2 linked regions of the Ovis aries genome follow. The protein of the gene in region 1 interacts with the protein of each later gene in a pairwise test. Links are inferred from orthologs where the notes say so. Each region holds a gene or a part of one and is shown on either strand. Other genes may lie near its edges.

Region 1 (3,600 bases):
CCTCCCTCCCCATCCCTGCCCTAATCACATAACACGTAGCAGGTGTTCAACACTTGTCTATTACATAAATTCAGTGAGAAGGTAATGTGCCAAAAAAGACTTTTAAACCATGATCCACGGTAAAGCGAGGCAAGTAGGGCGTTTCTAAAAAGACTCTTCTTGAGAGTCTCTTGGACTGCAAGGAGATCAAACCAGTCAATCCTAAAGGAAGTCAACCCTGACTATTCACTGGAAGGACTGATGCTGAAGCTGAAGCTCCAATACTTTGGCCACCTGATGCGAAGAGTTGACTCATTGGAAAAGACCTTGATGCTGGGAAATATTGGGGGCAGGAGGAGAAGGGGGCGACAGAGGATGAGATGGTTGGATGGCATCACCGACTCAATGGATATGAGTCTGAGCAAACTCCAGGGGATGGTTTACGACAGGGAAGCCTGGAGTGCTCCTATTCACGGGGTCGCAAAGAGTCGGATACGACTGAGCGTATCTAAACAACATCAAGTTATGGGCAGCATTATCACCATCTTCTACCCCACAAAGAACCACAATGCACTGGAATGTTTTCCTCTGGAATTGCATTTCTACTCTTGTATTCAAAATTTTTTCCCACTTATGTTCAAAATTAAAAAATGACATCATTAAAAAAATAAATAAATAAACAACATCAAGGACCTCTAGGTTCCTCAGTAGGCGCTAGGACCCTGTCGGCCGACTCGTTAATCTTTACGCAGAGGGCTCCGCGCCTGTCTGGCCGGGAGCGACTGGGATCAGCTCCAGGGCGCCGCCTGCTGGGATTCTGCAGCCTCTGCAGCCCTTTCCGGGCGCCCCAGCTCCTGCCAGGTCTTGAGCCCGCCTCGCGTCTCCCATTGGCTGGCTCCTCTTCTCCCGCCCTTCCCGGGCTCAGCCACTCGGAACCCCGGCGTGGGTGGGGCTTGAGGCCTGGGATGGAGCGCGCTTCCCGATTGGCTCTGAGGAAGGCGGTGACGTGGCCCGAGAAGACCCATCTGTGCCTAACCCGAGGCTCAGCCAGAACAGCCCTGGATTAGTGGTAGGCGGGGCGTGTCCCGGTCGGAGGCCGGAAACGGAAGTGGAGGAAAGATGCAGGTGGGGGAACAGCAGCTGGGGAAATGGGGGGCTGCCCTGGGGCCCCTGGGCTGAGTTCAGCCGGTCCTTTCCTGACATGCTTCCTCAGGCTCTCTCCGGGGGCGCCCTCCCCGGCCCGTTGTGCTGGCCCCACAGGGTGGCGGTTGGGGCGATGAAGTGAGCGCGCGAGCGGCTTGTCAGCTCGCAGCACTCACGCACCTTTCCCCGCCGTGTTTCCCGCCAGGACCATCAGCACGTGCCCATCGACATCCAGACCAGCAAGCTACTCGGTAGGAGGGGCGCCCCCGCTCACCTAGCTGTCAAGGGGAGACCTGGCCCCCTGGCCCTCTGTCACCAACAGCGGACCCGCCGACCACTCGCTCTGTTCTGTGCTCCCATCTGTGGCTGGACCTGCCTCAGTAAAAGGAGCGGGAAGGAACCATGCATAGAGTCTATACTTGACCTGTGTTTTCTATTTAAACGTATATAACATGTTGTCAGTCATGTATTTTAGGGACAGAGGAGAGTTGAAGGCTTGCCTTAAAGATGATCAGCTGCCGAATGGCAGATCTGAAGTTAGAACCTAAGTCTGTCAGGTTCCAGTATTGTATTACGCTGGAAAAAAAAACTTTCTTCCTTTTTATTTTTTCCTTTGACTTTAGGAGGAAAAGGCACGTAGGTCCAGTTGAAAAGAAAACCTTTTAATGGCCAGACCATCTCCCTGCTGTCTGTATCGCGTCTATATACCACCTCTCTAGTTCAGAGCCAGGGAAGGGCCTCTTCACTCTGACCCCTCTAGGGCAGTGCACAGCTCCTGGATTTTTAAATGGTCTTTGAATTAATTGTTTTGATGCCAGTTGTGTCATTAAGATGACATCTGTTTGACTGTGTCGTCCCTTTGCTTCCACTTCTGTGACATCTACATAATTTTTGTTTTTGGAGATTTTAGTGGAGTGCAGCAATGGGGATATAACTGATAACTAGTGTGGGCTCCCAGCATTTGACCAGTTAGCAGATTTCTTAACAAGGGCAAGGTGGCCACTTAGTGGAGCGTCTTTAACTTCATTTTGGATTTGTCCCAGCTCTTCAGGACCTGTACACTCTTGATGTATATGCTTGTTATTGGTCCTGAAAAGGACTGGTAAAAACCCAACCATTTATTGAGGGTTTATTCTATACCAAGTGCTGTTTTATGGGCTTAACATTATGAAAATGAAGACCACTACAATTCATTGAGCCCTTGCCATGCGCCAGGCATGATGTTCAGTGTTCTACCGTTTGTACTCAGTATATTTATCATGCCCATTTTACATGTAGAGAAACTGAGGCACAGAGAGGTTGAGAGACTTGCCCAAGAAAGTTGGTAATTAGAACCAGGACCAGCTGACCACAAAGTCTAGGTCTTAGCTCTCTCCTATGAGGAAATGTACATAGCTCTCATCCACCTATACCCTCAACTGAAAACAGATCTGGCCCAGAATCCAGGAGATCAGTCACACTGGTATCCATGTGTGCAGGATGGTGCTTCGCTGATAAGAGTAGACCAGTGTTATTTAGTCCTTAGGGGCTTTGCAGTTGTTCATTCATCTGGTATTTGGTGTAACCGACTTGTGTTTTTCATTGTCATGGTTAATCCCAGCCCTGAGAAAGTAGAAATTGAATGGCAGTAAGAAAGATATAATTATCCATGGAAGCAAAAATATCATGGAGAATTTAGAGTGGTCCAAAGTGTCACTTTGATGTCAGGACCAATTGAAAGCTTTCCTTTATCCTGTGTTGAGGCAGTTACTTTATAAAGTCACATTGTGGATAAAGTTAGGTTGCTGGAATCTGTTTAGCCCCAAGCATCCCTTTGAGCCTGTCTTCATTCCCATCTTCCCGTGACCCCCACACCTTAACCAATATGAGTACAACTTTTAGCCAATGCCTTAGCATATTTCACTTGAATCAGTGATGCAGTTTTGGCCATGGGAATGCTATGATTTGGGTTTCTGCTATAGACTGGCTGGTAGATAGAAGGCACTGCAACCTGAAATGGCAGAGTCTAGTATTGACCATCCGAGAGAAGATCAATGCCGCCATCCAGGACATGCCAGAGAGCCAAGAGATCGCCCAGCTGCTCTCTGGATCCTGTGAGTGCTTCGGGGCTGCATTACTGGACCCCCGTCTTTCTTGGGGTGGTATAAATCTGCTGAGCTGTTCCTCTTTCTTTAGTCATAGGACTGACCTCTAAAGAAAGAGAGGCTTTTATTTGGGGTATAGAGGCTGGTTTATTTCAACACAAAATGATGAAGGGGAGAGCTGTGCCCTCTAAAGTTACTGGCATATACATGAGTCAGCCATATGCGGAGGCTGCAGTGGTGGGTTAGAGACTATTATTTCCAAAGTCTTTGTTTTTCTTTGCTTTCCAGACATTCACTACTTCCACTGCCTAAGAATTGTGGAGCTTCTCAAAGGCACTGAAGCCTCCACAAAAAATATTTTCGGCCGGTACTCTTCACAGCGAATGAAGGCAAG
Region 2 (4,120 bases), on another chromosome or scaffold:
TGGAAGAAAAGTTATGACCAAGTTAGACAATATATTAAAAAGCAGAGACATTACTTTGCCGACAAATGTCCGTCTAGTCAAAGCTATGGTTCTTCCAGTAGTCATTACGGATGTGAGTGTTGGACCATAAAGAAAGCTGAGTGCCGAAGAATTGATGCTTTTGAACTGTGGTCGTGGTGAGGACTCTTGAGAATCCCTTGGACTGCAAGAAGATCGAATCAGTCAATCCTAAAGGAAATCAGTCCTAACAGTCATTGGACGAACTGATGCTGAAGCTGAAACTCCAATACTTTGGCCAACTGATGAAAAGAATGGACTCATCAGAAAAGACCCTGATGCTGGGCAAGGTGAGGGCAGGAGGAGAAGGGGACGACAGAGGATGAGATAGTTGGATGGCATTACCAGCTCGATGGATATGAGTTTGAGTAAGCTCTAGGAGTTGGCGATGGACAGGGAAGCCTGGCGTGCTACTGTCCATGGGGTCCCAAAGAGTCGGACAGGGCTGAGTCACTGAACTGAACTGACTGAAGTGAATAGGTTAAATTTTAGCAATTAAAATCCCCTTTGATTACGTTTTTCCCAGTATTGCGCAAAGGCTGAATTTGCTCTCTTACACCTGCGTAGGTCACTTCTAAGTAATACATTTTGCTACTTACAGAGAAAATATTGTCCAATTGCTTCAGAGATGTTTGCCAAACTACATAAACTTTGAAATGTGTAAGCCTACTGGAATAATCTTTTATTTTGTCTTTTTTAGCATGAGAGGAATTTTCCTTTTTAGCTGCTCCGAATTTTAAAAAATCATCTCAAGTATTTTTAAAAAGCAGTTTAGGTACCTTAGAAGTTTATTCAATCTTAGAAATCCACATTAACACACAGTTCTCACTTGCTTGAGTTTGTCTACGTCCATTTCTGTAAGCCAACTCTTCCAGACTAATAAAATTCATAATATTTTTAAACAAAATCAAATACACTTAACTGACATGCAGAATCAGAAGGCTCAGCGAACTCTCGCGCGATTTTAAGACGCTACCGCCAGACGTCACAGGTTGCCATAGCAGCCATCCTCCGGAGTGGAAAAGAAGGGTGGTGCGAGGGGCGGATCGCTGCTGCTTCTGCTGCTGCTGCTGCTGCGGAGGACCGCGGTCGGTCTCCTGCAGGTCTGACTTCTGCCAAAATGAGCGGCCTGGATGAGGGCGACAGCTTCCCTATCGCTAAATCCTGCAGCCCCGCTACTCCCGACCATGCCCCGGGACATCCGGACCTCAAGCAGTGTCAGGGCGAGGAAACCGAGGCGACCTCGGTGATGGCGGACACAGGTGAGGGCGGCTTGGAGACTGCCGCAGAGGGAGGCGCGGCCCAGGACCCCGCGGTCTGTGGCCTTGCGCTCCGCATTCGAGTTGCTGGGAGTCGCGGCCGCGTAGCGACCAAAGCGGGCCAGAAAGAGGCTCCGGCTTCCACGGAGGGCCTGGAAGCAGCCTCTGCCTCTACCTCGGTGGGAGCCGACAATAGCCAGGAAAATGGCTGTCAGCGTAGAGAGCTACGCAGCCCTGCAATCGAGAAGGCTCTAGAAGCCTGTGGCGCAGGGAGCTTGGGGGCTCAGATGTTGCCTAGAGCGAAGGCCAAGGAAATGACGAAAAAGTGCGCTGTTTCTGCGGCAGGGGAAAAGGAGGGAGTAACAGAGGCGGTGGTAGAGGGAAAGAAGGTTATGCAGAAGGAAAAAAAGGTGGTAGGAGGCGCGAAAGAGGAGACCCGGGCCAGAGCCCCGAAGATCAATAACTGCATGGATTCGCTGGAGGCCATCGATCAGGAACTGTCAAATGTAAATGCCCAGGCTGACAGAGCTTTCCTTCAGCTGGAGCGCAAGTTTGGCCGTATGCGGAGGCTGCATATGCAGCGCAGAAGTTTCATTATCCAGAATATCCCAGGTTTCTGGGTCACTGCCTTTCGCAACCACCCGCAGCTGTCACCTATGATCAGTGGCCAAGATGAAGACATGATGAGGTACATGATCAATTTGGAAGTGGAGGAGCTTAAACACCCCAGAGCAGGCTGCAAATTCAAGTTCATCTTTCAGAGCAACCCCTACTTCCGAAACGAGGGGCTTGTCAAGGAGTATGAGCGCAGATCCTCTGGCCGGGTGGTGTCTCTTTCCACTCCAATCCGCTGGCACAGGGGCCAAGACCCCCAGTCCCATATCCACAGGAACCGGGAAGGCAACACTATTCCCAGTTTCTTCAACTGGTTCTCAGACCACAGCCTCTTAGAATTCGACAGGATTGCCGAGATTATCAAAGCAGAACTGTGGCCCAATCCCCTCCAATACTACCTGATGGGTGATGGGCCCCGCAGAGGATTTCGAGACCCAGCAAGGCAGCCAGTGGAGAGTTCCAGGACCTTCAGGTTCCAGTCCGGCTAACTCCTGCCCTATGAGAGAAGCTCCTGCACAAGTTCCCCTACCACCCACCTCCTCTCAGACCCGTGCTTAGCCAACAGCATGCTGTCCTCCCTGTACTTTCTTCACACTGGATTATTTTGTCCTTTGATCCTTCTAAATTCTCAAAACTCAGTGGCAAGATGGTTGCTTATATGCCAATGCTCTCCTTCTTCTGGGCCTTCCTGCTCTTCTGCATCCTGTTCCACTGTTCCAAGTGCATGGCCTTCCACTGCTTCTGTGCCAAGCACATAATACTGTAGATACCCACTGCCTTCTTTTGCATGCTCTGGGCCCTGACTGTAGCCTTCTCCCAGTTTTTAAAGCGGTTATCTACCACGAAAAAGCTTGATATACTTTTGCAGCTACTTAGCTGGGCTTCATACTTTGTGCTGACTGTCCTGATACCCATGTACTCTGTGGCCAAATCTTTGAGTTTCACTGCTGCAAGATGAAGCTGATAGAGATGATGCCAGCCATCACCTAAACTGAACATTCCAGGCTACCAGTAACTGGTTTTCAACTGTCTTCCTGGGTCCATGCCATCTACCCTGCTGGTTATTTTGCAGAATAAGCAGCTGACTGGTGGGTGGTTACTAGGCATGAATGAGGTAACAAATGAGAAGTGTTCTGTGTTATGTTGATCTTATGCCTTTGGTCACTCTGCATTGTGACCAGGTGGTGGTGAGTATGAAGCCCTGTGATACGGCCCACCCAAACCTGCTCTCAGCTTTCTGGATGAGATTTGCACAGGCACCATTCCCTGCCTCTTTAGGAACTATCTGGAGACTTAAGCTCCTGGATAGCCCACAGGAACCATCCCCCGCTCGACCCCCACCCCCTGCTTGCCAAATGGTTATCTGGAAACTGCTTGGCTGTCAGGCAGGATGGGCAGTCATAGTATCACAGTGTCTAAAGCAAAGCTGGTGGGAGGTCCTTTCCAGCAGTTAGCCTTTTTGAGCTCTAGCCAACAAACCACCATTAATCTAGATGTCCCCCTTCTGCACCCATTCTAAACATGACAAAGTTGCCAAGATGGGGACACCAAGGAAGAGGTATTTCTGGTCTGTAGGGCCTGTTATGTATCTTTCTCTCTCTCACTTTCCTGCTTTCCTCCTTTTCTCTTCCTCATCCTCCTTCTCATAAACAGTTACAGCTGAGAAAACAAACTGGCAAAGCAGGCTTTTTACTTTGCTTTCCCTTTGTGTCCAGAAAGATACCGTGCACTGGACTCCAGCTTTCTTACTGCCCTCTTCTGCCCTCATGTGTCCACCCCACTTCCTTTAGTAAAGTCTAAACATTTCAAAGGGAACTCTGTAGGGTGAATTGCCTGCTTATGGACATTGTTCGTTGGGGCCCAGTTTGACAGCCCCGTACTCTTCCTTATCCATTACCCAAAACCTGTGTGTTTTTTTGAGCCTTAGCTTAAGAAGCTGAGGGGAGATCACAGAAGGGCTTCACGACAGACCCAGAGCAGGCTGTGATCCAAGGTAATAAGAATTTGGTTTCACTCCACCTTTCTAAGCTTGGAAGCTTTTTGAGGGGCCTCGTATCACTTAGAAATAACCAAGGCAGCATTTCGAGGGTCACTCCTGTTCTCTGTATTGTTTTTTCCCCTGAATTCCCATGGGCCTGCATCCTACCACCCTGGCATTCTTGGCTCTCAGTCCACAGCTTCTGCATTTC

The links.
Region 2: the proteins of CDK5RAP3 (region 1) and TSPYL4 interact in binary tests that used the Homo sapiens proteins (3 or more experiments, as listed by UniProt). The two-hybrid records come from large-scale screens. The link is inferred for Ovis aries from reciprocal best matches to the Homo sapiens genes CDK5RAP3 and TSPYL4.

Annotation. Positions count from the first base shown.
Region 1 is NC_056064.1:38,227,654-38,231,253, reverse strand, and holds the start of CDK5RAP3 (CDK5 regulatory subunit-associated protein 3), read left to right. Parts: upstream 1-1,077; 5' UTR 1,078-1,098; coding exon 1,099-1,104; intron 1,105-1,327; coding exon 1,328-1,373; intron 1,374-1,745; exon of another isoform or gene 1,746-1,787; coding exon of another isoform or gene 1,788-1,809; intron 1,810-3,083; coding exon 3,084-3,215; intron 3,216-3,494; coding exon 3,495-3,595; intron 3,596-3,600. UniProt on the Homo sapiens protein: Substrate adapter of E3 ligase complexes mediating ufmylation, the covalent attachment of the ubiquitin-like modifier UFM1 to substrate proteins, and which is involved in various processes, such as ribosome recycling and reticulophagy (also called ER-phagy).
Region 2 is NC_056061.1:21,674,377-21,678,496, forward strand, and holds the start of TSPYL4 (testis-specific Y-encoded-like protein 4), read left to right. Parts: upstream 1-1,071; 5' UTR 1,072-1,177; coding exon 1,178-2,419; 3' UTR 2,420-4,120.